Caenorhabditis elegans: one gene and its partner. The protein of the gene in region 1 interacts with the protein of each later gene in a biochemical or structural test. Each region holds a gene or a part of one and is shown on either strand. Other genes may lie near its edges.

What was found.
Region 2: of the proteins of cdc-25.2 (region 1) and lin-23, one has a biochemical effect on the other in vitro, tested with the Caenorhabditis elegans proteins (one study listed by BioGRID).

The regions. Positions count from the first base shown.
Region 1 is NC_003283.11:1,571,352-1,587,905, forward strand, and holds cdc-25.2 (M-phase inducer phosphatase cdc-25.2), read left to right. Parts: upstream 1-6,339; 5' UTR 6,340-6,386; coding exon 6,387-6,444; intron 6,445-11,419; coding exon 11,420-11,532; intron 11,533-11,622; coding exon 11,623-11,714; intron 11,715-11,986; coding exon 11,987-12,515; intron 12,516-12,569; coding exon 12,570-12,827; intron 12,828-13,190; coding exon 13,191-13,583; 3' UTR 13,584-14,181; downstream 14,182-16,554. Other genes in the region: F16B4.7 (Glycine Rich Secreted Protein), read left to right, coding at 14,371-14,476, 14,526-14,677; F16B4.6 (MT domain-containing protein), read left to right, coding at 15,855-15,999, 16,147-16,342, 16,389-16,500. UniProt on the Caenorhabditis elegans protein: Required for intestinal cell division following the 16E cell stage of embryogenesis. Regulates intestinal cell divisions and binucleations probably by modulating the activity of the cell cycle regulator wee-1.3 and by activating the cdk-1/cyb-1 complex.
Region 2 is NC_003280.10:6,365,422-6,382,766, reverse strand, and holds lin-23 (F-box domain-containing protein), read right to left. Parts: upstream 11,465-17,345; 5' UTR 11,455-11,464; coding exon 11,329-11,454; intron 11,211-11,328; coding exon 11,072-11,210; intron 11,019-11,071; coding exon 10,844-11,018; intron 10,791-10,843; coding exon 10,496-10,790; intron 10,449-10,495; coding exon 10,080-10,448; intron 9,945-10,079; coding exon 9,504-9,944; intron 9,355-9,503; coding exon 9,004-9,354; intron 8,963-9,003; coding exon 8,855-8,962; 3' UTR 8,217-8,854; downstream 1-8,216. Other genes in the region: Serine carboxypeptidase ctsa-4.1, read right to left, coding at 13,747-13,871, 13,918-14,005, 14,052-14,138, 14,183-14,264, 14,376-14,485, 14,532-14,678, 14,722-14,824, 15,048-15,388 and 1 more; clec-88 (C-type lectin domain-containing protein), read right to left, coding at 16,190-16,785, 16,855-16,990. UniProt on the Caenorhabditis elegans protein: Functions cell autonomously to negatively regulate cell cycle progression. Required to restrain cell proliferation in response to developmental cues. Probably recognizes and binds to some proteins and promotes their ubiquitination and degradation.

The DNA of each region.
Region 1 (16,554 bases):
GCATTTTGTGTAGATCAAACCGTAATCGGACAACCTGACACCACGTGTGAAATGCTCTTAGGCTTTATGAACAATACAAAAAATCTACAGTACCTATAAAACATTAGGCTACTGTAGAACTTGAGTTATTCTCACCCCATTTGCACAGACTCCCTGAAAAGGTATGTATCTTGTAATTGATGGATTAATATTGAACTCCACTAGATTCTTGCTCGTGGGATCCCCTAAATACTTCAAGATATCAATCTGTCCAAATAAGTTGTAATCATGATGTCCTACTAATGTTTACGGTTTCCCAGTCAATTACAATTACAGATTTACAACACTGTGCTGTAAACTTGCTCTAATCTGCATCTCAATCCGAAAACTTTCAAATCCTGGGAACCTGTCACCACCACTATATCCACAAAGACCACCCAGAGAGGGGAAGTGAACTAATCAAAAAGTAATGAACCGCTACTCGATTTGACCCCAATTTCGCGCCACACTGTGCCCTAGACACGAGCGAAAAAAAAAATGAAACAATTGAGGTGTTCGCTTTCGATTCGCCGCCCCTACCTATTTTCACTCATTTCTGTTTTTGTGAAGGACACCCGCCATAGTTGACGACTTGAACGACACCTTTCGCTTTGACTTACATTTGCATTTCATTAGACACCCCCAGACCTTTCACCGGAAACTGGTATTTTTTTGAGGAAAGGTGTTCAAATTGTTTCAGTTTGGTTGTTAACTAGCGGAACCTAGGGATTAAATTAATCTTATTTTTGTTAGGATTTCTTCATTTATGAGCTTCAACATGGGCCTAAACTATATTAAAAGTTTGAACAATACTTAAAATTTATGTCCAGAATTTTCACTTTTAGTTTTTCACAACGCCATATGAATTTAAAAGTTGATAATTTGTATTTATCTAGAATTGTTTAATTTTGAACATGTCTGAAAAAATTAAAGCACTGTTGAAGTTATATATATACAGTCAAAACGAACCTAACCTGTGTGTTTTCCAGCAAACTTTGCCTACTTCACCGGGACCTTACATTCGAGCACTTCTGGGTTTATGTTAGGAAACTGTAGGGGTACTGTAGTTTTGCATAGTATTTTATAAAATCAGTCTAAATTTTTAATGCATTTTTTTACTGCATAGATATAATTGGTATTTAGTTTTTTCAAGTTTACAAGCTTCTTCTAACGTTTAAAATTTTCTAGAAAAATTTTGTACATCTGCTCTTTTTCCATCCTCATCAATTTTCACCTCAACATGCAGCAAGTCTCACAGCATCCTCATCGCTCATACCTCTGCTCCAGCCAGACCCAAATTATCATTTACTCATTATACAATCTTATTCACCGCATAATTAGAGATCGCTAGACTTGTCAGACACCCAGACACATCTGTTCAACCCATATGAGTGCACATGCCTTCAGACATTCTGTTTGATCTGTGTCTAGCGCTCTCTCAAAGATCAACAGTCTCTCCGGCATTGGAAAGCAACAGCTGTATGTGGGATGAATGGCTATTGCGCGCGAAAATAGGTGTTTTTTGGCTTCCTGGGGTTGGATGTGGGTAAGCAAAGACAGATGGATGGGATAAACCAGGGGATCAGTATGAGGGAAGTTTGTTTTAAATTTGGGGTGCTTAATATTTTTAGATGATATTTTTTGTTTCGATGGAAGCAGAAACATTCCTATTCACTTACACATAATTCGAAATTGAGCTTGAACACGTGGCGTCAGGCTGCTCCATCTAAATGTGATCTACAAAAAATGCGGGCATATTTTACCCGGAAAAGTGTGAAGGCAGCGCACTCTTAACCATTTAAAATCAGTTGAAAAATCTGCGTCTAGAAGCGTCTAAATTACCACAATTCTAGTAGATCAAACCGAAATGGGACACTCTGACACCATGTGCTAGAATTGGCTTAAAAAAGTCTGATAGTCTAGGCGTCTGCAAATTTAAGATTCAAGTGCGTAGTTCGGCATTTTGTTTGCAAAAAAAGCTTCTTTTGATCTTTTACCAACAAAAAATGAAGAGTTCTGGAACCAAAACACCATAGTTTCATGCCCACCTCTTCTTCGGACCATTCTACCACACATGCGCGAATCTTTTGTCAATTGCGCAACACCTGTCGCGGATGCCCATGGACCTCCTGTGGGGGCGCCTGTCGGCTCATACGCAAAGAGCTCTGACCATCTCCTTCATCGCGCATTTACGACTGTCGTCGAGATTACAGTCAACTACACGACGGGAGGTGGTGAGAGATCTCATCTGGAATAAGGCGGTGATGGAGGGCGGAGCACACCTGGACGGATGTCCCTGGGGAACATTCTAGCACATGGACCAGTATGCTTGGGTCCCCAAGGTTGCGTAAGGTCGCTCGACATATCGATTTCTTGTTTTATGGTAGGTGTGACTTTTTTTGAGAATATGAGTTAACCATGAATATTTTATTTAAAGAACATAAATGCATTTTGATACTTTAAGTCTAATTTCCCAAAAAGTCTTTTTTTCCCTTTCTTCTCTCAATGCCGGTCTATTTTTTTCCTCTCTTTGTCGGACTCGTGAGGGTCCCGACTTTTTTTCATTGTTTTGATTAACTTTGATTAAACAATAAATTCACTTGTGGATCATCCTCAAGCCAATTTAAAAAAAAAAGTTACTTTTATATAAATAAGGTAGAAACAATAATTAATTTCAATTTGAGCTGCCTAAAAATAGTTTTACTAGACCCTTGTTTTAATTATGTTTTGTAGTGATAATATTTTGAATCTGAATTTTTCTTATTAACTTCAGTTTTGATGTGATGTGATAAGTTAATACCTGCCTGTCTAAACATCAGTCTACATATCTTTCCCGCATTTCTGAAAGAGCTGATGTATTTAAAACATTTTCGATTTTTAGTCATTTCCATAAATAAATGCATTGAAAACATTAAAATAATAAAATTAAATTTCGAATTAAGTTTTCGGTAGATCTAATAGTAAGGAGGAAAAATTATTATGTCCCAATTTAAACCTATTCTGCTCAAATTCTTATTTAATTTTTATTTAACTTTTTTTTCAAAAATTAGACGTTTCTCTTACATCTTCACTGTACCATATCATTTTAATCCGTAACTTTCCTACCTGTCAGTTTTTTTTTTAAATTAGACGGCTTATGACTCAGTTGTTGTTCCGTTTAACACAATAAAATTAACTTGCAATACTTCTTAATAAAGTTACAATGCATAATTGTGAATATCTTCCAGCCCACGTTCACAATGCTCAGTAACGGTTGTTATTATAGTCATTAAGTGTAATTTATGTAATCCTATGGGATTCTAGAACATGGCAGATTTACAGTATAATGTTTATTAACCAAACATGTGTTCAGATACATTACTGACAAGTAGGGATTAGAACTCATACTCATGGATGAAGACATCATAGGTCACTCGATATGCTTTTCCAGTTACGCAAGTCAGTTGCATCAGACACAAACTCACTTGCTAAGAGGTTTATGATCGTTTGCCAGCGCGGTCAAGACTGATGATCCGCTGAGTAGATAGTAATTTATTTGGTTGGTAACGAGAGTTGAGGAAATTTTGAATTTGCAAAGCCACTAACATTAAAACATCTGGTAGGTGTCATTTGGTCCCTTTTCTGCTAGTGTAATAACGTTTACAACTGGCTCTTCATTCACAAGTCGACGACTCCTATTTATCACCTATTCTCACTCCATAGCTTTTGAATAGGTTTCAATATTTGTAACTTTTCATATTTTCCAAAGACAAAAAATGTTTATTTGCCAAAGCCCTTGACTTTTCTCGTCTTGTAATACTTGCCGGTAGCTCCTTTTTATGTACACAGGTACGTCGAAAAAGACCATCCAATTAGGTATTAGATATCCTGCAGCACATACCCGAAAAGGCCTGTGGAACAGTAGGGCAGCAGGAACGGTATTTGAATGCCTTTTTCACGGTATGAATAAGGTGTATAGAAAAGGGGGTGGCTCTAATTATATGCGCGTATTATATTTGAATTCCGTAAGAAGACGAGAGGGTGGCAATAACCTTTTTGACGGGAGAAACAATAGGAGATATTTGAACGGGAGAGGTGGAAGATGCACACGGGTGGAAGCTAGGTGCAATAGTAAAGGGTGCCTTCGAGCCTGCCTACACATGCCTATTTTGTTTTTGGACTAAAAAATTAAATAATTAACTGTGGAAGTAAGTTGGAGTTTTTGAATTTTGTATTTTGTATTTTGTATTTCAAGAACAATGTGTTCTACTACAAAGCCGTATTTCATTCCAGGATTCAAAATGAAAATCCAGCCTAACAGCTTCCTCTACATCCCACCCATAACTCATAAGCACCTGCCACCCGTTGGCCCAAATTCCGGAGCACCCATCATCGCGCACATGTTTTGTAATGCTTGTGGTCCGTCTCTCTCTCTGCTTCCACACGGAATATTCAAATATCCTCCCCCTCCCTAGTCCCAATGGAGCTCCTTTACTGTGCTCCTCACTGCGCGCAGACTGGCTGTCAGCTGTCATCTGATGTCTGCGTCTCGCTGATCCTCACGCTATTTTGAGCTTCTTATGATATATTGCATAACTAAGAACGATGGCGGTAAGGAGACAGGAAATGAGGCATTTTGTATTCTTTTCGAGGAGGCTGGCTCTAATTTGAACATGCACAGACGAACGGAACATGCAGAACTGAACATAAGGAGGGTTGTGATCTTCAGCTAATATGTCTGATTTATGAGCTGACACTTCATTCTAGTTACTGATGAACCCGTAGAGACCCGCAAAAAAGGAAAGCTTATTGATTCAAAATTCAGCTTCCCATAATAAATTCCCATACAGCACGGTTCTTTTCAAAACCAGAACCATCTGCTGGTTTTGAACGGAACCGAAGCTGTCTTGGGCACCGCCAAGCACCCCGTCAGAAATGAGAAATTTCGGCGAGAGATTTGGAGAATTAGATAGGCACACACACTCGGGGAGGGGCGCCCACAGCTTTGACCTAGTGGCATTGAAAAATTGCCAGCGAGGGAAGAATCGGTGGCCGATTCGTCTTCTAGTTAGCCATGCCTTTTACCTACCATTTTATGATTTTATTCTATTCGGAACTTGGGGGCTAGGCACCTAAATCCGTTTGACAAGACAAGGGTCAAGTTTGCCGAACATTTCTCTTAGGGGTCCGCGCAATATTTGTTTGACTATAGGTATGCAAGTTTTTTTTCTGATTGCCCAATGTTTGTACAAGCTTTTTAGATAAAAACTGTCTCACTCCAGTTATATCACAAACTTTATTTTAATTTTCAATCTAACTTTTCAAAGTGACTAGAAAGGTCCTGATCCAGACAAGTGGTCCAGAGGTTTGATTATATTATATAAAACTCGAACCATTCGCATAGAGTGAGGTCAAAAATTGTTGCGCAAAAGTTGCGTCGTTATAAAATTGCGCCATCGCCCTCCAAACAGGCGGTCTTTTGAATATGAAGCTCGTCGAGAAACCCGAGTTGCGCTGGGCTGAATGTGCAGATACGCAACATAATCCTCGTGAGGAATCCAGCCGAGCTTTTGCATCATAAAGGAAAACAGCTGCTTTTGTATTCCATATTTCATGAGGGGGTCTTAGATGTTACGTGGAAGAGGAAGCATCTAATTAAAAAATTGAGTATTGTACATAATTATTTCTGGCACCTAGGCGATTTTGAACAAGTTAGAATTTGAAACTGTGAAAATTGGTGTCAAGTGAATGATAAAAATTTGATTGCAATTAAAAATTTGAAATTAAAAATTGAATTTTGGAGTGGTTTAAAAATTGCAGATTAATGCATTTTAATTATTTTTGATGAAGTTACTTTTGAAATGAAATGAAAGAGAAAATGAAATGAAAAAAAAGCTTTTCGCTTGTCCGCCGCTTTTTGTCAACCCGTACCGATTGTAAATCACTCATCATACAATTCCATCTCCAAAACTTAGTGATCCTTGACAAAACTGGTCCGAGTTCTCTCCTCCACCCTTCCATTTCTCGTTCTTTATTTGAAAACCCCCTCTCTATCTTGCACTCAGGTCCCTCTCAAATCCGCTCTCTTCTCTCTTCAATCTTCATGCTCTTTTTCCCCCGTTCTATAAGGGGTCATGATGGTGCAACCGGGTCGGACCACCTCCATCCGACCTCCCGCCTCCCACCACCCGACTCCCTCAAGCATTATTACCTCATACTCGGGGCGGCACAACCACCTTTTTCCCTGTTTTTTTTTGAAACCTTTTTCTGTGTTTTCAAATATTCTTTGAAATTTATAGATATTTTGATTTTAAAAATTTTTTAAAAATTTAATATTTTCAGAAAACTCCAAACACGTGGGCACAGTCATTTAATCTAGAGTATTTATTATGAATAGGCCTTCACAAATATCACAAGATGTAGCACAACCGCTTTCTAATCAGCATGGTGAGTTGAATTTTTATTTTCAATAAGGTGTATTCATTTTAGAATCGTAAAATTGACAGACTACATCTTGATTTTGTTTTCAATTTTATCTAGAACAAATACCAACTAGTATATATAGTTGTAGTTGAACATCTATTGACTTTTTTTTCAAAAATAGATCCAGTGAAGAGGGTGAACATAGAAACAAAGTCGTTTAGGGACCTATATTATTATTGCCAAAATGTTATAGATGGAGTATGGCCAGTGGGGAAAGTGCTAAAAACTACTACTATGGTGTCAAAATGACCGAATATCAGAATAAAACTTTTCAAAAAACTTTTTGAAATTTTTTATTTATTGTCAAAAATGACAATTACCCAGGTTTTTCCACTTATGAATAATAATGGAAATCGTCCAAAAAAAATTTTTTCCTACATTTTTATACTGTAATTTTGTTTTAATTAATTGTATTAAAACATTGTAGGGACTCATATTTTTCAATTTTTTTGGCATTTTGCCAAAACTTTGATCGTAAATTTCGAAAAATCTAAAAATTTTTAGAGTGTTTAATTATGATATTTGGTTGTTTTGGATCATTATAAGTGTATTTAGACAAAATTCTCACAGGCGCTACTCCACCTTTCATCTAGAAAAAAAAAGTTGATTAGCATAGTTGTAGTTGCAGTTGAACTGTTCTTTATTTATTTTTTTTTTTTTGAAAAATCGAACCTTTGAAATAAAAATCATGTGGGTGCAAATTGGAAAAAAACATAGCAAAAAATGTTATTTCGGGTTCTTTTCTCTCTAAATTTTTATTGCCAAAAAACTAATTCATATTTAAATTCAACGCAATTACAGTTTTTATTTCTGTACTTACTATCTGACACGAAAACTTTTGGAACAAATTATTGTACTCAAACAATATCTAATAACCCTAGACCATGTGTATGTCCTCTCTAGGAATTCAAATCATTATTAGCCTCGGTTCTCCTATGGAGGCTGATTGCGCATATTTCACGCAACATATCATTGCGTAGTGCCTGTGAGGGGGTCCTATTGTATTTCGCTATCTCGAGAGAGTACTCTCGTTTGCCCTCCTTATGCTTGGGCACTACTGAACATTTGGTGCCATAAGGGGTTTACTACTATACATACGGAAAAATTGACAAATTTCCTTTCAATTCAAACGATAGCCTAGCAGCAGCAGCAGCGGCTAGCTGCAAGACTCGGCAAATTTTACTAGTAGTAGTTCACGGCCTTGGATGCGGGTGTCAGATAAGCGGAAGTCGCTCACTCCCCTTTGCTGGTATCATCCATCAGGTAGCAGTATAAAGGAGGCTGTAAAACTAAACCCACCGAAAGAAGGTTTTGACCACTATAAAATAAATTGAGCGGGGTCAGGGTCTCTTAATTATATTTGAAAACGTTCGAATTTGATGAGATCTCATGAGAGGAGAGTTTTATTGAAAACGTTTGAAACAGATAAATGTGCAATGAATTTTTTAGAGTTAATAAAAATAGCTGAATTTGAGAAAAAAAAAATTAAATTTGAACTATTTTGAACAATACAAAAATAGTTGTTATTTATGGAAAAGCGCGCCCACAAAACAGCGGCAAACGCACAGAACTGCTTATTTCAACATTATAGTTCAACTTTTTTCATCCAAACTTGATATAGAAATGTAGAAAAAAAATTGATCTATCTGAAAATATTCCTTATGTCTGTTGAAAAACCTTAAAAATCTTCAAATAGTGCCTAAAAGTTCCTAAAACTTTAAACGGAATTTTTTGGCAAACCGCAACTTTTAGGCACTATTTGAGGCCTTTTTGAAGCTTTTCAACAGAAAAAAAATTATTTTTAAACGGAACAATCCTTCTTCTACATTTCTATATCAATTTTCAATAAAAAAAGTTGGATTATCTAAAAAAAAGTCGCAAAAAAGAGAAATTTGGATTTGAGTCTACTGAAACATTACACGAAAATTTCTAAATATATCGAATTTCAAGTACTCCAACCCAGCCAGCAATAAATTCCCTGAACTCTTTTTTTAATGATTTTCCAAATTCTTATGAGAAACTTACGACTTTATTGCTCGCCTCTTCGCAATTTTACAGTTTACGATTTTTATTCACACCACACCACACAAAACATTTGAAACTAGTACCACACCTCTCCTCCGGCACTAATCAAAATTTCCAATCTGACCTCTTTTTGAAAAGGGAGGCCCAAAGTTTGTTCAAGTAAGGTGAGAAAATGGTAATAGACGGGGGGGGGGCAAGCAGATAAGTATCGTTAGGCCTAAGTTGACAAATTGGCATGTCGAGCAACCTGGTACCAAGGTTTTCGATAGGATCTCCCTTTTCGGTGTTCCCTTTTTTACGAATTTTAGTGCCTTCAAATTTCAAATTTATGTTTTGTTTATTTTGTCCCCCACCTAACTTTGTTGCCCTTGATTCTCAAAGATAGCGGCTTCTGCATAATATAAACATATCTGTTCGATGTCTGACACCACCAATCGTACTTTTAATATAAACATTTTTGAATGTAGGTTAAAGTGATGACTGATCATGGAGGAAGAGAAAATCTTATATTACGCTAGACGGGGTCCGATTTCCTCGGGTCAACTTTCTTCGTTACTTTTTGACATTAGCTACTGTAGAATCTGTAGAGTCACACCTGTCCTCTCCTCTCGAGATTTTTTTTTATTTCAATTTCAATTTACAACAAAAACACAAAAAAGACCTCTAGAAAAAATGGCCTCCACCCGTGGCCAGGTGTCCTTCTCTCGGCCGTTTTTTTCTCGCTTCACCCCCTTATGAATACAAGATTCAAATTCCGTTAGACCCGTCGAGAGGGAGGAAACACACACTAATGTATAGGTATTGATGGTCCGAATTTCCTAGCGAGCCTGCCACCTGGCGCACTCTTTTCATAGTGAACACGACAGCCGGCTCTCGTTATGTCGGGTTACGTTTGAATGGGAACACGCGCATTAGGTACCATATATAGAGGCTTCATTGATTAGATTTGAAAAATACCAAAATTGTTTTTATTTATTTTTGGAACGAAAAAAAAAATAAAATTTTAAAAATGAAATGTTTTTTTCTAAAATTTAGCAAGGCAGATTTTATAATTTAATCCAGATTTTTTTTGATTTTTTTTGAGAAACAATTTTATAAAAACGCTTATGAGTTTTTTATAAATCAGCAAAAACTGAACATTTTTAAGTTTTTGATTTTTAGAAGCATATGGTTATGATAGTTTTTTTTTTAATTTCAGCAGTTTGAACTTATAAAATCAATTGATATAAATATTTCAAAAATTGAAACATTTTAAAAATTTTTAAAAATCGACTTCCAAGATCATGAACAGCAACTCATAAATACTGCCACTTAATAAAAAAAATTCGGTTATTTCAAAAGTTATTATACAATAATTTCAATTCCCCCCAAAAACCCCAAGGTCGAAACTCAATTTCCCACATTGCCCTACAGTAACTTATCGCTATCACATTAAAAATTTGAAAATCATATGGGAATATGGCTTTTTCCTCTAGTTTTACACAAAAAGCATCCGCGGGGTGGGTTACGACCGGACGAGTTACGCAACACTGACCGAGGAGGGTTACAAAAAAGTTTTCTTTATGCCAATCTACATATCTCTAGTTATCTTTTCCAATGTTTCTGTGAGATTGTCCAGTACACAGATTTTTTGATACTCTCATTGCGGTTTTTGGGCAATATTTGCTTTTTCCAGCTGTGTTAGATTCGGTGACAAACAATGGTTTTTGACACTGGGAAACACGGGCTCACACAAATCTGAGTTAGGAAAATGTTCTCATATAATTTCTAAAAATGCACTAGAAATTTTAAATAAAACATCATAAAGCCATTAGAAAGAGCAAGAAAATATTTTGGGATTTTTTTTCAAAATTTAATCATTCAAAACATATTTGAAAGTCTAGACACCGCTCATTTCTTGGTTTCTTTGCTTTTTTCGATTTGGTTTTATTTAATTAACGTAGAATTTTGTGCGTATGTTCTATCACTTCCAACATACTTCTGGGAACGCCTTTTTGAACATACTTTCCGGGAATTCCTTCATTTTTGAAAGATTGAAATCTAGTAATCCTTTGCCAGAACCTGACGTAGCACACTTGGATTTTCGTGCGGCGCTCATCATAAAAATCTTAATCTCTTTTCCCAAGGAGCACGTTTGAGTTCATGAGAGAAGAGCCATAAAATTGCACACAATTACTGCTCTTTTTGGATGAAACTGTAATTGTAGCTATTAGGAATATGTTATAGGATTTTGCAAGAGACATAAGAAGTGTGTGAATCGAAAGTTGTAGAATTATTATTTGCAATTTAATAACTGTTTGTATTTTGTGTTGAATTTACTACTGTAACAGTTCATACATTTTTTGTATTTTGCTTTCTTAAAAAAATGGAAAACTGGTAAAAAATTATTTTCTATACAATGTTTTTCAAAAAAAAAATCGAAAAAAAAACTGTAAAAGTAGAGCAAATAGCTAGCTTTTCCGGCATTATCCCCGAGGAGAAATTGATTTGACAAGAATTTGGACCTGGGAAAATTGATCGTAAATATGGTAAATTGAAAGGTCTTAATCCCTTCTCAAAATCAATTTTTTCAACAGCTATAAATTTTAAAACCAAGTTTAACGAACTGTTTTCACCAAAAATTTTTCCTAGAAGGTGTATTTATCTTTCTAATATCAGTCATTCTGCTATCAAATCACCGAAATTTCTGATTTCTGACATTTTCTGCCATTTCCCGTGTTTCGAGACAAAAAACGACCTGAGTAGACCCAAATCTCACCAAGATAGACGTGTCTATTTCTAAATTTTGACCCTCTCTCCCCAGGTGAAAAGTTTCTTTTGGGATGTATTGGGTGGGACCTGAACCGCCTATTCTCAGACCACCAGGCCATCCGTCGTTGCCATTCGTACTCCTTGTGCATTCCAACATTTGCAGAAACCGCGATGATGTCCTCCGACGAAGATTCCATGTCACGCGACTCGGGGATCTGCGAGTTGATGGACGAGAACACGCCGGTTTGCTTCTCCTCAATGTCTACAGAGTCGACGGTAAGTTTACTAGTATGATTTTAACACTCTCTTTATTTATTAAAAAAATAAATTTCAATGCAAATTTCATCAATAACTTCTAATTTCCAGACCGTCCAAGTCGAAGAGTGCATGGAAATCGATGAGGATGAAAATTTACAGCCAGGACCTGTGTCTCGCCGCCAGAAAAAAGTCACGTTCAGGTGAGAAGAGTGCACGATCAATATTTCGATCGATATTCCATTTATGGGAAGAGGAAAGAAGAAAAGAAGAGAAAAAAGTGTCTCACCCTTCAAACAAAAGTTTTGATCTACCCTCTCTGCCGCTCAAAAGTGAACATTGCATTTCACCGCGGGCAGACTACACTCATTTTTGAATACTTGCGGTGTGTTGGCCCACTCTCTCTTCATTCTTTTTGTCCATTTTCCCATTTTTTCCCCCATTTCGCTCCGTCAAAAAACCACCAAATTTTCAGACGAGAGAAGAGCTCCTGCCAGGTGCGTCTGTTCGACGAGTCGCCCACCTCGCACAAGATGTTCATGCGCCCGCAAGCCCCGCTGTCGGTTCGATCCGAAAACCAACAACTCCTACAGCAGCGGAAACGGAAGTTCGAGAAGAGCGAACAATCGTCAGATCATTTCCATTTAGAGCCGATGAGCGTCGAGGCGATGGACGACGACGAAATCGTGATGATGGACCAGAACACCACCAAGTGGGAGCCAGGCTTTCGAGCGCCGAACCATAAGAAGGGACGTCTCACCCGTTCAGCAACCGCCTTCCCGTCACTAGAGACATTTGAGGAGGAAGAGCACGAAGAGCAACATCATCTGAACGTGAAATACCACCTCAAAACTGTTGCAAAGGAATCCTCGAAAGGCTTCAGAAGAATCACCGCCGAAACATTGAGAGACATCTTTTTCCGACTCTCTGAAAAAGAATTTGATGACAAGTATATTCTCATTGATTGCCGCTACCCATATGAATATAATCGTGGTCACATCAAGGTAATTGAGCAATACATTTATATTTAAATTTTAATTCAAACTGTAAATTTTCAGAACGCCATCAACCACTTCGATCGGGTCACAGTGAGCAAGATCTTCTATGATGAGAATGGCCGAAAGCGGTGCAACAAGATTCCGATCTTCTATTGCGAATTCTCACAGGCTCGTGGTCCAAAAATGGCGTATGCTCTTCGGCAAGTAGATCGAGAGCTTAATGTGAACCACTACCCAAAATGTGATTATGAAGAGATGTATGTGCTCGATCTTGGATATCGAAATTTTTTCTTCGCTGCGAACGAAGCCAATATCACGGTGAGTATACGGCAAACGAACAAATAATTTCTGCAATTTCGGCAATTTTCAAACCTATTTTTGTTTGGAAAATAAAAAAGTTTTGAAAAAAAAAACATAATTTTTCAGTTTAGAATTTTGCTAATTTTTTCTTTATTAGGTTTTAGACATTAAGACTTAGGCCTAAGCTTAGGCTCAAGCTTAGGCTTAGTCTTAGCTTAAAAATTCGCCTAAAAATTCGCTTGAAAATCAGCTGGAAAATTGATCATTTTGCAATAAAAAATCTTTTTAAACTTTAAAACTAAAATAATCGACACAGATGCTTTCTGAAATAAAATGCAAAAAAACCTGAATTAAAGCTGTATTTTACAAGCCTATTTCCAGAATCTCTGCCAACCCCACGCATACTGTGAAATGCACGACAAGGAGCACACGATGGAGCTCAAGAAGTACAACTTCCACAACAAGGGTCAATCGGTACTGCGGACTGTGAGCATGAGCCGCTCCTTCAAGTCCTTGCCGACGGGTTCCGCGTTCAACTTCGTCGCCTCATCTGCTTCGTTCACCTCGGCACCGTCCACGTCGACAGAGAACATTGATACCAACGATGATTGCCAGAAAAGCCGGACGCCTGCCGTTCCGCGGATCGCTTCGAGGCGTAACTTGTTCAGTGATCCTTCACACTCTCCAACGAACTTTGCACAATTTCCTCTGACTTGTTCACGAGAAACGCCCTCTCCCCACAAACATCCCTTGACATGTCCTCGTTTTTCATAAAATTATTCCTCCTTGATTTCTCCAACAGAGTGTTCCATAGTTATGTTGAGCGGTTCTTAGATTCAATTATCGAATCGACATTTTTCTATTTGAACGTGCTCTGTGCTAGACAATGTAACTGGTCAACTTAACAATAGGACGGTCTGTATTTGCCATATTTCCGAACTTTCAAACTTTTATAAGTTGGCAAGTTTCTCTCTCATCACCCGCCAAATCTTTCTTTCGCGCTCTCTCTCTCTTTTCTGTTTCCGAATATTTTCTATGTCTCTCTTTATCAATCTTTGCCACACCAAAAATTGTATTTCTTGAATTATGGGTTCCTTCGGTTTCTCTGCCACTTTGTCCCGTGTGACTTCCCCTCAATGTCCCCTGGGTTTAGGATGGATGGGCTAGATCACACATATATGTATCTATAAGTTTCTAGATGTTGACGTACTTTCCCCCCTCTCTGTATCCAGTGCTCAGATCCTGAAGAACATAGACTGTAAGAAGACTAGATTTATTTTCAACTAATTTTGACTATCGTCCTATTTTTATATGTAACCACACAGTGTTATATAGGGATCATATTCCGACTAAATAAAATTTATTTTACTTTATCATATTTTCATGTTTTTCAATTTTCTGACCAGGTTGTTTTTGTAATGTGATTTGGCGAAAGATGACCGGATGATAAGAAGTGATAAGTTGTGGAATTGTGGGGGAGGAGAAAAAGTTCCAGTTTTTGGTACTAGTATAAATAAAATTGGAAGTATCGGCTGAATTACCAGACATTTCTATTCTGAAAATGAAATTCTACATTCTCCTGGTAGTCCTTGTCGCTTTCGTTGCTGCTAAACCGCATCCGGGGTACGGTAGGCCATCGTATGGCGGAGGTTACGGCGGTGGAGGTGGTAAGTCATAGGACAGTATCAGTTTTTGTAAGTCATGTGTACTTTCTAGGTGATTTCGGTGGAGGTGGCAGTGGTGGTCAATGGGGATCGCAATCATCATCGTTCCAACAGAGTCAAAGCTCGGGAGGATTTCAGAATAACGCTGGAGGTGGATTTGGAGGAGGAATGGGACCAGGAGGTGGAGGATGGGGAAGAAGATAAATTTTGAATTTATGACGTGGAAACTGTGGTTATTGTTCCGAATAAATTTTCCTTATCGAAGTTTTTATAATTTAAGTTAAACTATTAATTTCTAAAATGGCGGGGGGTATAATACACAAGTACCGAAATTTTCACTAACAATCCAAAAAAAAAAATAAATTTTGTCATTTACTAAACAAATTTCACATTGTTTCAAAAAACTTGGTTAGAATTTTCCAGCATGAGATTATCTTTTACAGAAAACCACAAAAATTGATTTTTTTTTTCGAGAGAGAGAGAGAGAGAGTTTTCTCACAAAAACGTCTTTGTTGACGTCATATATACTAATTTCTATATACTAATTTCAGGCTTGTTGCCGTCGGAACTCAAAATATCACAATTTTACTCATTTTCATTACTTTTTAACAAAAATGTTGCATTTTTCTTGTTTATTTCTTCCATTTTCCGGGGGAAAAAACACAAAAAATTAAGAAAATAAATGAAATAATGTTAATAAATAAAAAATAATGCAAGTACGCTCCACCGAGCAAATCCAATTGGCGGAAATTCAAAAATAATTAGGTGAAAACAGTGATTTTTCCAATTTTCAAAAAATCATATAAAGTCTAGAAAATTTTTTAAAATTATTTTATCAAGATATTCGGTTTTACAAATAGACACTTTTTTGGTCTATTCACGAGTGTCACGAAATATCTCCTAGCGACTTCTACCGTATCATTGAATAAAAATAGCAACATCTTGAAATTTAATCTCTGAAGCGTGCGCAAAAATTTATAGGTTTAATTTGCGTGCTGCGTGAAATCGAGATGAAAAAAGGGAAATGTGAAGCTTGGAGTTTCCGTATTTTTACATTTTCACGTCTCCCGTTTATTTCATCTCGGATTCACGCGTCACGCAAATTACACTTATTAATTTGCTGATATTCTGGTCACATTCTAGTACAAAATCAATAATTTTATGCAGAAATTTGCCTTTAAAAATTAAATTTAATATTTGAGGCATATGGATGCAAGAAAATGAGCTTTTTACAGCTCAAAATGAAGATTTCGAGTTTTCCGAAGTCCATTTCGCGTTATTTAATTTTGATTTGTATTTTTCTTTCCAAATGTAAGCTAAATTATAGCTTTTTCCTCAAAAATTAACATTAAAATCAGTTTCTAAAGAATTTCGGTTAGAAATGAGAGACGCAGACACAAAATGCGCCAGCTCCTGGGCGCGTGGGTCTCGCCACGAAAACTTTCTCACCCACTTTTCGCCAATTTTTCATAGTTTTCTATCATTCTGTCTTCTGTTTCGCTCGAAAATGGACGCTGCCAAAAATAGTGAGTTTCAGAAAGTCGCCTTATAATTTTCAGCAGAAAAATCATCCTAAAAATCCTTTTCACACTTGCTCCACAGGCACAAAGTTTTTCAACAAAACATTTTAGGCCTGTGGAGGAATACTATTTTGCAAACCGTTGTTTTTTCAGTCAATAAAGCCACCGAACAGCTAAAACAATCGTTTTCTACCGAGAACTGGGAGAATGTCAACAAACTTCGGACAGGATTATCCGAAATGACTGAGAGACTCGAGAAGTGTGACAAAACTACAAAGGAACATGATGCTATTTCTGAAGCTGTCAAACGAGCAGGCACTGTTCAATACATGTTTGATATTGGGAATCGGTAAGTGTAAATTGCGAAAATGAAGAATCACTCCCTAATTGTTCAGGAAGCTCGATGAGAAGCCGTGCTTTTTGGTTGGCAATATTCCATCTGCGCTCACGAGTAAGACGAGGGATTTTGACCTGATCAATCATTCGTCCAAGGGGCGCACTTACTGACCCCCCCCCCTTTTTCACTCGTTTTTCTCATTTTAACTTGAGCATCGATTCTCT
Region 2 (17,345 bases), on another chromosome or scaffold:
TGATAATCCGGTTATCAATTGAGTAGAAACATGCGGGAAATGTATGATTTATGGTTCTTCTCAGTTTTCAGTTTTTATAAGTGATTGCAAAATACAGTACATACTGTAGATGTTATTGAAAGTTTGGCTTCTGGACAGAGAGGTCGCATGCTCATCAAGTGGATACCGGGAAACAGTAATAATATATCATCCCTCATTCTGCCCAACGAAAATTTATTTTAAACTACATAATAACCTTTTTGTGCAGTGAGTAAGTAGATCGACAACATTTTGATATCTCTAAAATAAAAAGAAGCTTCAAAATCATGAAACCGTGGAGAAAAAGTTTGCAACTGAAGATAAAAGATCATCATGACTAACTTTTGTGAACTTTCTGTTTAGGCTTGTGTCCGGAACTAAATAAATTCACCTGAAATCACGAATTCGCCATTAGATATTTAACATTCTATTAGAATCCTATTAAAGAAACACACACAGTTGTTTGGTCATTGTAACTAGACACATAGTCAATGATAAAGTTTGTGGTTAGGGTTAACACTCCTAATGCAGGTTATCATGTGAAAATATTACTGTAGCTACTTTTAAAGTTTGTGCATGCAGAGAAGTTAGGGATTGGATTTTTAAGACCTGCCTTTTAAAAACTATGCATCCAAAACAACAGATAATTCCGGTTTGGAGTGAGCAGCCATTCTTCTACAAGTTTCGGAGAGAGAGACGCAACCTTTAGGTAGGTAAAAAATTTTCTCAATACTATTGTAAGCATTCCACTTGTAATAAATTTCACCTAAATTGCTGATTAGGGTGAAAAATTATCAGCCTTTCTGTGGTACTGTAACTGTAAATGTTACGTTTTCAGTAAACTCAAGAGTTGTATTTTATTTCAGGATCTGCCGGAAGTTTTGAGTTTTCTAACTGTAAAAAGCCTACAAATTTCTGTGAATCAAGCTTGTCCCAGCTGATTTCTTTTAGCCATATCATGGTTAGTTTTGTAATTATTGTATTTTAATAACTCAATTCTTGTATATTGTATACAAACTTAAAACATATTAAAAATAAATTCACTCGAGATTCAAAATTATCACAAAAATCAAAATAAATGTACAATTGAACATGAAACAAAATAAATGAGATCCCATTAAAATATTGCAAATCATCGCGAAACAATTGAAATAGATGACCAACCAGCGGAATGAGAAAAATATCAAAAAATGTACAGACAAATATATATATACAATTCCTTTTGTAAGGGACAAGGAAATATAACGTGCTTATAAAAAAACAAATAAATAAATAATGAACTCTAGAATTGGAGCTATACCTTTCGAAAATTTCCAAAATATTATATTTACACTTTCCTAAGAATGTACAAGGAAAATATATCTTATGATGTTGTAGCCATGTAGTCATGTAGACACGTGACTAATGATAAGTGGATATCATTTAGTGATCCTTTTCTTGAATTGACCATACCGATTGTGTTCCGGTGTTGATATTTTGATGAGTTGAAGTCTTTGCATTCTTTGCACAGAGAATAATGTTGAATGTTTATGAAGATCCATTGATGTTGCTTCTCCATAAAAATATACTGGATGATGAATCATTGTTGAGTTTAAAAAGTAGGTCACTTTCAGACGAATGAAATTTCAGAGAGAAGAGCACCAAGAAGTCGGTGGCTGACTGACCGGAGAGGACATGTCGTTGACTTTTCGTTCCGACACTCCGCCTCTTTTCGGAACAAGGTCACGCCCCTATCAGTTTGCAAGAGGTAAGGAATGGAGACGAAGAGAAAATGGAAAAATGGGTTTATGCATAATTTTGAGATGATAGAGAAATCGAGAAACCTGAAGTTTAAACCACACAGAAAGAAAATGAATGAATTTATGAATCAGAGAGAAACACTGTGGCAGATAAAGAATATAAATAAATGGAGAGAAAGAATGTGTAAGAAAAAAGAATGCAGGTTTCAAGGGACAAAACAAGAAATGAAAAACGACAACACAACAACACAAATAATTGTGAAGTTAATCAAGGTTACGGTAGGTAGAAAGGTATGAGCTAAAATCGACATTTTCCAACTGAACTGTAACTCCAGAACAACCTCGAAATCGTTCCACGACTTGCAATACTGAAATTATCAAAAATAGCATTGTGTAGAAAACTAAGTTTTAAACATAAAAGTTCTTGGCTATGTTCAACCCGAAAAAAATAACTTGACTTAAAAGCTAGCTGGGAAGAGCTGGACAATTTATCCTAAGTTTGACCAAAACTTTTCTTGGCACACCAAATTTGTTGGAAACTTCTTTTAAAATATTTTTCTCCAAAAACGTACCATATTTGCTTTTTGAGCCAACTTTCTATCCCTTTTCTGAACAATGTTATGACAGGTTTGGTAATTGGCTGAGTAGCGACTCTCTTAATTCAAACAGTGATAGGGAGTTTTGCCAATTTTGCTATGATTTTGATTTTGAAAATTTTGCAGTCTACAGAATTTAATTTGGGTAATCATCTTTATCCAAATTTGTTAAAACTAATCTAATTTCTGAAATATTCCGATCTGAAAAGGTCGAGTCGCTACTCAGCCACCGTATCCCACCACAATTCTTCAAAACTTTTTTGAAAATTTATCTTTAAAATCTAAACTGATTTTCCTTTTAGGCTGATTTTATTCATAAATCTAACAGCGTTATGACAGTTGTGGTAATTAGCGACAGCGACTCACAGTAGCGACTCACAATCAGCTTAACCCTTGTGATACGATTTTGCTTCGATTTTGAAAACTTTCTTGCATTTTGTATGATCTTAATATGAAATTAGAAAGCACGTACCTGATGTCAAAGTAAACTTCAATCTTTATTTATTTATTTCCAGTGTGCGAACATCAAGCATCGGAGTTCTAGGTAGTCAGGTAGGTAGAAAGGCTTAAAGGTGTCGAAGATAGGTTTACCTACTCAGACAGTCACTATACAGTGAATAATCTTCAGAATGTCAAACTATCATATTTCTTGCTGATTTTTTTACGGGCATGGTAATTTTGAAAATGTAAGCAAAAAGTTCCAGCGCTCCGGGGGCAGCAACAAGGCTGACGAAGGAAGTTTTCGTGGATGTTATATTTATAATCAGAGTGAAGATCCCTCAATCAGAATTCGCTCATCCGTATCAACAATAACCGTAACTGGAAGAGGGTCCACGTGTTTGATTTTTCTGTTAATTAAAAGATAAGGCGTTCCATTTTCTGACTGATCTAGATCAAAGTCCATTTATTTAACTTCCTTCTGATCGGTCACGTTGTCAAATCCAAAAACAATAGTTCATGCCGTCCAATCCTCATACCAACCCAAATCTACCTTTTCTATTTTTTTCTTTATTTTCTTTTTTCCTGTTATCAATCATATCTTCTTTTTGTCCAAAAATGATGATTTAATATGGGCAAGATGAAACTAATCAAAAATCGCTGTTTTATTTCACGAACTTCAAGATATATGAAGATATTGTCGAGTTTCCGTTTTTTGACATTCTCTTCAATCTCACACATGACAGTCGCGAAAAAGTGCATACTATCATTGATTGATAACTGGCATGATTCTCTTGAAATGCTACACTATTTCATTTTTGTGTTATAAACATTACAGATCTCACGCTCATTCGATGCTTAATCCTCAAGAAAAATGGTGTGACTTCGTGACATTTCGTTTGGATTGATAATCTGTGATCGAAATAAACTCGAATAAAATATCTTGTTATAAAATTATCTTAATTTGTTGGTCAAAGTTTTAGAGTGGTATCAAATTAGATATTATTCAGAAATGAATTAATCTTGTATTACAACCGGATATTCACTCTATGACACATCTACGTGCACCCTTCTGGCTCAAACATTTGCAAGTGAAAGGTCGATGTAATTCGATCATAAGATTATAGCAAAAGGTCGGAATCTACCAGAGGTCTTCCAGTCAAAGATTCGTTTTTCTGAATCATTCATGAGAATGTTTTAGATTTGCAACGATGAAGTTGGTGACCTTTAAAGTGCTCTGTATCCAAATATCACGAAAAAACGTTGTAATCAGGTTGCAGGAGTTCTCACGACATTTTTCGCATTTCAAATTCTAAATGTTAGATTTAAAATTTTGAAGACTCCTGGGAATTTTTTTAAATTAAAAACTGAATCTTCAAGATGTCAAGAAAAATCACATTTTACTTATAAATCACTATAGCGATTTGGAAAAGTTAATAACAAAAAAGCTTGGCATGTTTATTAAAACAATAGTAACGGTGTATCTGGAAACTTTATTCCGTAATTTTTCCCTTCTTTCTAAAAAATTTCAAACTGCCATAAAAAATTTTCATTAAATTTTTTGAAAGGTCTTTTTATGATATTTGATTGTTTTAGTCCTTTAGAGAAACTATATATTTTGTAACGCTTCTTAATTTGATTTAATTTCAAATTAATTTAAATTGAACATGATTTTGAAAATTGGAAGCTTAAGTGGCAATGAAATAATTAAAGTCTTAATGTGCTTACGAGACACAGATTTTTTTGCAATTAAATTTTAAAATGGATTATGCCAAAAACTGCGAAAACATTCATACAATTCTAAATAGCAAATAGGAAAATTTTTTGTAAGATCAGAAATATCGAATTTAATGCCCTCAAAAATTTTCAGTTTAAAAAAGGTTCAATAAATTTTGAGTTCGGAGCTACCGTACTTTTTGCGTATAGATATTATGGTTGTTAAGTGTCAGTAGGGCGTTCCGCATTCTAGTAGCTTACTGCCAACTCATCGGCCTTTTTGATTGTTAATCACTAAACACATTGTACCATCGGAAAAAATAAACTAATCAAGAGTTCATTTGAACATTCGTTCAATTGAAACCTTTTTTGATAAAATACGTTTCGTGTCACTAGGTGCCAGTTACGTTCGTTTCGTTTTCCCGCTGATCATCCATCATCACTCTCATTTTTAACAGCTCCTTCATTCACTTTCATTTTTATGTTATCAGTAACCTCATGCGGAGTCTGCATCATTCATCACATTCATTTATCTATTTTTCAGCATTTTATTCGGAAACAAATACACAACTTTTTACCGTTGCCATCTCATTTTCTTCAACTTCTGTGAAATTATGAACTGTGTTGTCTCCCTCTCTCTACTTATCTTATTGGCAGAAAAAAGCAGCTGAGAAGGACGAGAGTCAGATGATTGGATGATGGGAGTGTGAGGAAAGAAAAAGAAAAAGAAGAGCATTAAAATACAATAGTAAATGATAATTAGAGAAACTAATACGCTAAACTGGGAGGGCTGGTACAAAGAATAAAAGGAAGTTGTTGTTTCGGTAAACAAATGTCATGAGCACTGCGGGAAAAAATGTCATAAGATATGGAAAATCAATTTCTTACGAAATTTTCAGTTTCATTGCAATGTGCTGGAAATGTGTTTGTAAGTGAAGTGTTAATATATGAAGTACAATACAGCACTAATATTTTTGAAGAGTCAAGTACCTGCAGACTTGTATTTAGTCACATATTATCTGCACTGAAAATTCGTCTTATCCAAACATTGTCACAAGCATGAATCGCATTTTGGAATTTTTTAAGTTGTTTAAAAAGTACGAGTTGATGGGAAATTATGAAAACTCGAAGTTTTGGCCTCTAATCGAATATTTTTAACAAAGAAGAAATGAATTTTCAAAAAGTTCAATTGATCCACAATTTTCATATAAAATTGTAACAATGGGCAGAAGTCGTACTATAGTTATAACCTAGATTCGTAGATTAACTACTGTAGTCCCTGCCCTAAAATGTGTTTTCTTCACGTTTTCTTTACTGGAACTTAATTTTAAGAGGTAAGCTGGATAAGCCTACAACCAGTTATGAACCTGCAACTATACCATATTCTGATTAAGTCTAGCTTCAACTGATTTCCAGCTGGATTAAATTCAACTTAACATAAGTATTGGCAATTAGGATAATGATTAGATCTCGGCAATTAGGATAATGATTTAGATCACTGTTGCCAAAAAATTTTTAACTGGAATATTTCTGAGAGTGCTACCTGAAATGTTTCCTACGACTAGGTCGTTTCACGTATAACCTTTGCAATATAACAGAACACAAGTTCAAGGCAGAACATCTCAATCTTGCCAAGTCGTCTTGCAATATTTTATCTTCTCATATCATAAAAAGATCAATCATTTCTATTTGACCTCCCATATTTTGATTACAGGTAAAGGAAATTGCAACACGTTTTAAAATCATCGTCGTTCCTGATTTATCTTTTGATTTTCCAACTCTCGTTCTCATTTCCAATCTTTACCCTTTCTGCCACCTGGCGCATTAATCATTGCTTTTTCCGATTATCACTTTCATGCTTCTTGTTGTGACGTCCTCTCATTCATCATTTGCAGTTAACAGGAAACATTGTTGTATGAAAAAAATAGTCAGCTGTTTATTCAACAAATAACGCGTTAAAAGGACATGAATAATCAGACAATGCTTAATGAAGCCATCGAGAAATCTCTGAAAATAAGCTTAATGTTTTTGAAAACAAGTCATTTTGAATTGAGATTCACATATTTAAATATTCAGTTCGAAAATGATTCGTGAGTTGAAATTTTCATGTCTTCCAAGTAAATAAGATTTCGAATATTTCTATTTCGGTAACCTATTTCAGTTCATTGATTATTAACTTTCAGCTTATCAACTTCAATTTAAAATTCATCAGACTCGATTCCTCATCAGAAATTCTGCATCCAAATATTGTCGAAAAGGAACTTGACTGGTTGTTTTCCAAAAAAAAAACATTAAATAACTCATTGAAACTAATTCAAAATTCAACTGAAAATTCTAGAGATCAGAAAGAAACTGGCATTTGAGTGAGGGTGGATTTGATGTTTATTAGATGTTTGATTACTTCAAAAAGTTGCACCTAATAAAATAGCCTACATTCTGGGGGGTTTGTGGTTTCTGACACAAAACTACGATCATAGCTACAATCACAAGAAAGTTCCTGTCTACACGAAAAAGTACAAAATTACATTGTTTTAGTTTTAGAATGAAATACACTATGAAATAAAATTGATATTTACCGAAAAAAAAAATTTTATATCCTTCAAAAATGTGTATAAAAACTTTTATTTGCGCTTAAAAAGTAGAGTTTTGTGTGGTATTCAAAATGAAATCAGGTCATCTTTAATTTTACATTTCAATTGAATTACAGTAGTAGAACGTTTCGAACTTTCAATTACACTCAACATGATTTATTTTTATTCAGAAGGCAAAAAATAGTGAGCATCGTTATTTGGCTCATCATAGTTAATTCTAGAGTATTGACAACTTAATGCAAACGATGATTGGGTGAACAACTATATAAACTGTCTCGAATAACAATACAAATATTTATACTATCCACGAAAACCAGGTATTCATTTGAAACAGAAAAAAATCACATTTACTGCTGAATCGCTTCCTAAACCAATTGAAAAGGGTACTGTAACTTGTCATCGTCTAGGTTTCAATGTGTTGTACTCGTTTTTTGATTGCTTCGCGAATTCGTATTAAATCAAAAATCTATAGTCATCCTACATAGTGTGTCCACTATGAAAATAGTTGTGAAACATTCCAATCTCCGACAATTCGTGAACTTTACAATAATCCCATTCTAACCTCTCCGGAAATTGATAAGAACTCAAAGGTGTGTGCCAAATTGAACTTTTTTTGCCACACTTCGGGTTCAAACTTACCGCTTTTTTGCTTTTGCAGAGGAGAAATATTAGTTTTGGCATTAAAATGTGACACCACCCATCTGCCAAACACTTGATCTGCCAAACACTTGAGCTGTCACATTTTTGATCGAATTGCAATTGAAATATGGAAAATTCCGTAAACTTTCTTGTGAAATATCTAATCGATATGTTGTCATTTAACTGTCGCATGACTTGATTTTGCATGCTTATCGATTATAACTTTTGACTTTTTTCTACTACAAAACTGGGATTCAGTGGAAGGTTAATTATTTTCTCATTATCACTCTTGTCACATGACTAAATAAATAGTGTGATAAGAATGGGGACGTAGAGATGTAATAGAAGAAAGTTGCAGAAATGCTCAAATCGGTTCTGCAAAGTTGTCAGTGACAATGACGTAGGAAAGACAGGAAGTGACAGAAGAATGATAATGAGAAACTCTAATTTAGAAAAAAAGATGGAATGGCAGATTGTGGAGTAGCAAAACCCAAATTTGTTTATATCATTTCGAACTATACAGAACACAATTTTCCGAGCGAATAAAAGAAATTTGGAATTGGAGGCAATGGAAGGGGAGAAAAATTAGGAACGAAAACGATTATTTGAAACAGATTTGTGTGAAGCGATTGAAAATGTGCGGGTGAGGAAAGCGGGGGATAGAAGCATTTAGAATCGTCGCCGTAGAAGAAAAACCGTTGAGAAATGGGAAGAGGGATGAAAAACAAAATAAAATGGTGAGAGTGGATGAATGGGCACCCGCAAAGCATGCGACTTTGAAAATTGAAGTATTAAAAAAATAGTTTCAGAAAAACCAGGACTCGAATGCGGTTACAAAAACAAGAAAGAAAGGGGTTGTGCGTGCGATATTCCAATATGTCGATTGAGAAAAGATGAATAGAATGCAGAGACACACACACACACTATTATCACATGAAATCAGATCAGTTAATAGTGAGAGGAAAAGTTGGGAAGGGGATGCAAAAGGATACTGTACAAAGGAATTTCAACTTTCTTTTTTGGAAAATGACAAGGAAGATTACAGAGGGTTTGGTTGATTTCTGCACCGGTTGAAGATCAGTAAAAATTCAAAAAAAAATGGGAAGGAGTGTAGATTTTATGGGCCACCATCTGGCATCTCTTCGTCTACGTCGCCTCCGCCCAGGTGATCCATATTATTTTGTTGTCGGCGCATATTGTCAAAAGCAGCCATTTCTTGCTGAAACTTGTCAATCTTTAGTCTCATCATTCAATTTTCAATTTTACCATAAGTCTGACAGGCAATTCTGGTCTTGGTTGCCTCCTTCTATGATTCTGATTGTGTGGTTGCGGTGGCGCTGGTCCAGCCACGTTCGGATTATTAACCTGATCAACTCTGTCCAGATCTTCCTCTGATGACGATTCATCATTGTCCCCGGCACCTCTAGCAGCTTCCGCCGCTGCTGCAGCTGCTGCAATATCGGCATTGTGTCGACGAGCAGCATTGGCACGTGGCCTCAGTGCAGGTTCTTCCACAACTTCTCTATCTCGTCGCTCAATTTCTCGTCGAGCAGCCATTTCAAAAAGCATTTGAGCTCGAGCGACAGCAGCTTGGTTTGGAAGTTCTGGGAGGGTGGCCTAGAAAAATAAATATGAATCACGGAAAAGAAACTGACTACAAATTTGCAAGCACTTTTTTTTCTTCAAAGTGTATTTGCGAATTTTGAAGACTATCAAATGTACTGCCATTTCTCAATTAACAGATTTGATCCAGATGTTGTACTTACTCTGTTTGTTGAAGACGGAAGCCCACTGGGTGGAGCGTCCAAAAAGTCCCAAATGAGAATAGTGTCATCATGTGAAGAGGAAACAATTTGGAAATCATCAAACTGCAGGCGGAACACTCTGCCAGTATGTTGAACTAATGAGCAGAGGCATATTTCCGAAGATAATGCACGAGGATCTAGAGCAGCTTGAAGATCCCATACTTTAATCTTTCCGTCGTATGCTCCGGAGACAATTCGTTTTTCGTCAAATCGAATGCATCGCACGAGCTCTTCATGGCCTTCAAGAACACGTAGGCATACACCAGAATGAATATCCCATAGTCGAATCGTGTTATCACTGGATCCAGAAACAACGAGCCGTCCACGATATTGAAGACATGCAATTCCTCGTCGATGGCCAGCCAATGTTCGAACAAACTCGAGTGTATCCATTGACCAGACCTGAATATTGAAAAAAATTAATATTTTCAGAACCGCAAGAATAGTAAACGAGACTCAAACGATAAGTACACCTTTAAATTAAAAAAAAAGCTTCTTAATAACTGGAAAAGCAGTTTTTTAATTTCAAATTCTCACCTTAATAGTTCGGTCTCCACTTGCACTGACTATATATCTATCATCAAAATCAACGACATTTACAGCTGCTCTATGACCAACAAGAACTCTTCGAATTGTGATATCGCGTGGCGAAACCATATCCCAGACAGCAATCGATCTATCTTTTGAGCATGTTACCATTATTCCATTAGCAAATCGAAGATGAAGAACAGCTTCACAATGATGAATTAACGTTTTAATGCACTCTCCAGTTTCGACATCCCAGACACGTACTGTGGCATCAGAAGATCCAGAAATTATTACACGATTGTCATATTGAAGGCATAAAACGGAACCAGTATGTCCAGAAAGAATTCGACTGCAGCTGTAGTCTTTTCTATCCCAAATCTAAAAATATCAGAGTTATTTTGAAATCAAAATAATATCATTCTGACTTTAATAGTGTTGTCCCTCAAACCAGATACAATTTTGTCATCGTCATATTGAAGGCAATATACTCCTTTGCTATTTTCTGATTGACAATTTATTCGAGTCATTTTGTAGTTTCCACGTTTCCAGTTGTTGTCAATGTTATGAATATCTCGAATGATTTTTGGATATAATTTACTGTAGAAGACATGCATTAAAATGAGCTGATCAAGCTTATCCCGTTTAATATTCACATCGTAGTTGAATTTTTCACAGATTCGTCGCACTGACATGTCTCGACTGATATTCAGGAATTTGTCCCTGAAATCAAGTATTTTATTCCTATTTTCTGATAAACTAAATCATCAACTAACCATTGTCTTTTTTCAGAAAGTCCCCACCACAGGGAATCACTTCGAACATTCTTTTCAATCAATTTCTTCCAATGTTGACCACGGGCGAGTGCACATCGCCAGCTTGTGCTCACTTCTTCGCAAGATTTTAATGAATCCGAGTTTACATTAAACAGAATTAATTCGACAAGATGTGCTGAAATAAAATAGAATTAGATTAGTTTAATACTGAACAGACAAAAATTTTACCTGGTAAATTACTAATGAAATCTCTCTGGAGCATGGGCCTGATAAAGTTGTCGACTTTTCCCAACTGATAATGTGATAATCGATGAACAATTTTGTCCATAAAATCGAGCTGTTCGTGTTCACTCCATTTTAATACTTCCTGAAAAAGGTGATGATAGTTGAAGAAAGATTTGGGAAAAATCAAAAAAAAAAAAAAAAAAAAAATCAAAACGACATTATGATGGCGCTAGAATGACGGGAAATCTCGTTTTCCTTACCTCGATCAGGCCTTCGTGCCCTTGAAGGTAGTCAATAGAAAGCGGTTTGCCCTCATCGTGTTCACCTTCCGTCAACGATAAGTCCGCCAGCTGCTGAGTTGTTGAAGCTCGGTGCGGTGAAGACATTTAATGTCCTGAATTAAATGGATATTATTGAGTGTTGATTGATTAGAAGATAAAAATATGTCGATATTTAGAGAACAATGTTTTTGTGTAAAAATCAATTTAAAGTCGGAAAGATCTCATATAATCAGGTGAGTTAATCAGTATCATCGAAATTTAAAGGAAATTAAAGGGAAAATGTTCCGAAGATGAAATTGTATCAACGTTGCAATGAATTTTTTGTTTCGAGAATTCTCTTGATTTCGTAATCTTTTACAGAATCAGTGAACTGGTTAATCCAAATAGAAAAATAAATTGTTATAGGAATATCTGAATTTCAGCTGAAAATAGCAAATAAAACATCTGGGAGTTTGAATTTAACAACACAATATTTGAAGATTGACATTTAAAAAACTTATTAAATAATATGTATTGCAAATGAAAAGGTAACGCACATTTTGGTGTTTATCGTCAAATTTGTGTTTATAATTTCAACTTATTTTAAAAAATAAATCAAGAATCTTTTATATGTCTCGATAGAGAATCAAAATAGTGATTTTAATCAAAGATTTCAGGGCATTTCAGAAAATCGATAAAATAGCATTTAAACTGGCAAATTTTTCGATGAGCATAATAACTATTTAGTCATGACTTTTTTTTAGTTTTTCAATCATAAATTTGCTCTTTTCTCCATTTGGGAGAAACATATTTAACGTTTTTATGATGCGGTTGGGCATTAAACGAGAACAAACGTTCGGAAATTGAAAATATCTCAGGTTTTCCTGAAAATACACAACTAACGGAAAACGATGAAAACGAACGACTATACGAAAGGAAGATTTGAGTGTTACGAGAAGGAAACAAAAAAGAAAAGACAGAAAAGAAGGTAGAAAAGAGAAAGAAAATCGGATTAGAGACAGCGGTGAAGCACCTTTCAATAGTGGAGACGCAGACAGTTAGAGCTTGAATCGACCCGCCGTCTCGTGCACGCCCTCTTTGCTTTAGGGCGCGCTTGCCTTCTCTAAATCTCCGCATTTTATGTGATGTCTAGCCCAATCCAACTGGATTCTGTTCACCTTTAAAACTAGCGAAAAGCGGAGAAAGCAAGAGAAAACAGTGTGGGAAAGGGTATTTCTCGTACTTTTTCTGCACCCCGTGCACTCTAATACTACCTCCCTCTGTCTGCTGATCACATTTTCAGCTCGACTTTTGATTTTCAGACCCGAAATTCGAGATATTATTACACATTTAGATTGACATATCTCTCGTTCTTTTTCAACCTACCTTCTTTTCCGTCTGTTTTGTGTTCGTTTGAAAAATCTTGTTTTCGTTGGTCTAGCGGTTTTTATTTCAGGATTTCAGACGCAAGTAAATACATCAGAAAGAGGACAGTGAGAGTACTGTAAACTTTAAAGGCGCACACCTTTTTGTGCAACATCTGCTTCAAAGTTTTTTGTTCGTGGCAAGACCTATTGTGCTTCAGAAATCGGATAAATTCGAAACCACTTATAATAAAAATTTGCAAAACGTATCCCATAAACATAATTTATTCTATTACATGTATATTACACTTTCAAGGAATTCACAATTCTGAAAAAATTGTTTTTAGTATAGAATCTGAAACTTTCTAAGTTTTGTACTAAATTTGAAATATCCAAACTTTTAAATTAGCTGATACCATACATTGAAATTTGAGAATTACACTTAAACGTAATACCACATAATTTCTGTCAACTTCTGTTGCAAGACAAAAGACATTAGGATGTTGAACAGGTTCATTGAAAAATCATTATACCCTTTATTTCTTCGATGGGTGCTTCTATTGGTTAAATAAAAACACGAATGATGGCTAGGTTCGTGGTATTTATTATTCATTAGACTCATCTGAAATTCAAATATATCTATCTGCCAAAAACAGAATATCCAGTTATCATTGGTGCATACTAAAGGTCAACATTAGTACAATTGGCAAGGAACAATTAGAAATTTGAAGTTTTTTTGTAAATCATTTTGAAAAAAAAACATGAAACGTATTTCTGTACCATAACAAAACACTCAAAAAAAATTCAGCCAAACTTTTTGGTAAACTGCCAAATTACCAAAAATTAGAATTTATTAAGTTTTGTAGTTTAAAGATGGAGTAGTGAAATCAATGAAGATTTTTTGAATTTTTTCACATATATATTCGGAATCAGAGGCAAATTTGGATTCATTTAAAAATATTTCCCAGATTTTCGCTACTTTTAAGTAACTCAATTTTCTTTTTATTGCCTTAAATAGAAACTTCTCCAAAAATTAATAAATCACAGTCAATGATCAAAGTTGAATAGGAGTAGAATAGTCCTTATTATTGATAAAATTAAAAATCATTTGCTGCGATTCCTTAGGTTTGTCTTCAGGCACAAAGTGGCCACTTCCACGAACGGTCAAAAAATCAACATCTGTAAATGGTTATGTAGGTTTAAAATGATATTAAAGGCAACAAACTTCCGGCGAACTTGGTCTGAAACCCAGCTACTGCAGTTCCAGTCTGGCCGGAGTAGTGCCAAGCCTCGTTCACTTTCTCCTGTTCTCCCTAAAAAATAAAAGTTAAATATAAAATAAAGACAAGAGAAACTAACAAGAACTGTCAGGTTGAGTGATGTCAAAAACTGTTGATTCATGATTGAATTACAAGCAGTGTCCACATCTCCATTGTAGACAAGAATCTAAACAATTCTAAATACTTGAAATTAATTTGAAATATTCAAACTTTAATTCCTGCAGCAATCATTGTCTGAAATTCGGGAATCACATTGAAATGTGTTACTACATAATTCTTTCCAACTTGGTCGCTGTAAGAGAAAACAATTAGGATTAATTAATTGTAAGATGACACTACGCAATATTCTAGCAAACTTTCCTCCAGGTAATACCGAGAAGACATAGACCCCACAAAAACCAACCTACACTCTTCCCATGCTGGAAGAGAACTTGGAATGTGCAAACTTTTCCGAACATCCGCTCTATTCAAATAAACATGTGTATTATTGGTTTGAGCACAAAGCGGAACTGTCTGAAAGTATTTTGAAATTATAGTAGTTTCTGAAATCTAGTATTACGGTAGCTGCATTATGTTTTCTTGCTGGTAATCCGACGGCTATTCTCATTTGTCTTTCGATAAAAGCTTTTTTGAGATTTGTGGTTGGATTGTAATAACAAACATCATACAAGTTGTACATATTAAGCTCATTAGTACCATCTAGTGCCTGAAATTTAAAACATTTTTGAGAGAAACTGTTTCCAACTTACATTGATAACTTTGTCTCTACAATTTGGATCAAAGAATTTGCTGTAGATGTCACATGTTCCAATGTTGTTATTGCAACAATTTCTTGCAATGTCATTGTATAAACTGAAAAAATATACAATTATGAAGAAGTATCATTTGAAAAATCAGGTAGAAGGAAAGTTATCAAAATGTGGCAATTTCCGTTAGGTCTTGTCACGATCTCATCACTCGCGGTGCCAATTTTTGAAGATTATTCAATAAACGTTGAAGTCAATTTTTATAGGACTATGCTTCAACTTATTGCAAACCAACGTACAATATCTAGATTAATTATAAACCAACTTACTCGTCACGAACTAAAGCATGGTAATAGTAAAATGGAACCATAGTATTATAGTTATTTGGAAAATTCAAGGCTCCATTACCAATCGCCACTCCTTTGAAATTTGGGAAGTTTTTCTTGTCATTCAAAATACGTACGGCCAGAGTTGGAATATAAACTCCTGCATACGATTCTCCTGTGATCCAGAAATCACGACCCTTATATTCTGGGAATTTGGATAGAAAATCAAGAAGAGCCATGTAATTATGTAGAGATACTTCATCATCAGAAACTGTCAAATTGAAATTTGTTGAATAAGAATATCCAACGCCTGCTGGAGATTCCAGGAATAAGACATTTGCAAACTGAAATTGTTACTTTCTCATACAATATTAAAAGTGGAATTCTACTTTGTTCCAGGCGTACTCGTTGTAGTATATAGAGTTTCCAAAATCCTTTACATGAAATGGTCCCAATTCTTCAATTAACCCATCTAAACTAGAACATCCCGGTCCTCCATTGAGCCATAGAACTAGGGGATCCTGAGTTGGAGCTCTAGATGATTCGGTTAACCAATAATGCAAATATTTGTCTGTCCAAGCTCGCAAATATCCAGAATAATGAAAGAAATCTGGTGTGAAAGTCAATCCTGGTAAATCATTGACTTTATCCGTAGCTGGAGCAGCTAGACAGAAGGAATATGAGGATACAAAAATAAAAAGTATAGAAAGTAGTTTCATTTCTGAAATGAATGGAAAGCAAACTAGGAAATTGATAAGTGTTATAAGATGACAATAAGAAAGAGGATTATTGAAGTGTCGTCAGATGAGACAAAATGATTTGATGATTTTAACTTTGAATTGTAACTTCTCTAGAAATATTGCTCCAATGTTCCCAAGACAGAATGATCATAAGTACTTCGTTCGTCCAAAGTGAAGCCCGCCTTTTAGGTGTTCGTACATGGTATGCGAGCAAAAATAAATATTGCAAGTTACTTCGGAATTCTCAGTTTTTATGGTTTAAGACAAGTACAAAATGAGAATCTTTAGGGAGTAGTGAGAATTACATAATTCATAAGTACAGTCGATGACAGGTAATGGGAGAAGAGGAGATTTTGATGGATTTGATGACAAGATGGTAATTGTAATGTAAGATTATTTACATTTTTAATGCAATGAATTAGCAATGGTCGAGTTCCGTTCACAGATCGAATAGAATAAATATGTACATGGGTAGAAATAAGTGTATGAAGCAGTTTCCAAAGAGGCTGGGGACTTATAACTGGCAGCACAGTTGGCAAGTTGTGACCATCCATTGACGAGTGGACTATACGGCTTGATCAACCAGTTTCTGAATTTTTTTCTTTGAAAAAGAACACTTGCAAAGTAAACACACATCTTAGACGGATTGACAGCTCCTTCGGTCTGCCAACGTGGCAATTGCTCGGATCTCTCGTAGTGGGAAAATCTAACAAGACCGATCCACGAAGAAAACGAGTCTTTTGAATGACCACGAATTGCCTCCCACTCATCGATAGAATTGGCCACAAACAGTGTCGATTGCTTTTCAGAACACTTTCTTTCGGCTTTGGCGAATCCAAGAAGCTCCGTTTCCACCCAGTAGCATGAATCGGAATATCGGATCCAACCTTCCGGGCAATTTTCCGATTGGTCAATAGTTTGTGACGGCTGAAGAGTTGGGAATGGAATGTCTTCGAATGCAATTGTTCCGAGGTCCTTGTAGTCCCAATTGTAGAGTTTTTCTGGAAATTCATTTAATCTTTAAACTGTTGAAGATCAATTTTAAATTCATGATTTACAAATAAACTCACGTCGCTGATGGGGCTGCTCTTCAGTAATTTGAGAAACAATTCCAGGTGTCTCTCCACTAGCGTCTTCAATATCGTTAGTAACTGCACATACCAATAAAAGTCCAGAAAATAGGGTTCCAAAAAATATAAACTGCATAGCGATCAGTAAGAACGGAAACCGAGACGACTGTTTTCTGAAAATATTTCTTGTTAAATATTTTTAAAGATTAAGTTTTTTGTAATATTCGTTTCGCGCTGTGCTCAGTGGGAGATCAAACAAACTGCACAGCCAGAATATTTTTTAAAGAAACAAGTGTGGAATTAAAAGTTAAATAATCAAAATTATTTTAACTTGAGTTAAATTTAACGATATTTTCAAAAGCAAGTATATAAAAATTAAATATTCATTAAACAATCAGGAATAGAACGAATTAAAAGAGAGAAATCAAAAAACGAACTGAATTTCCAGTTTAATAAACAATTGTAGTTAAAGGAGCGTGCAACTACATCCG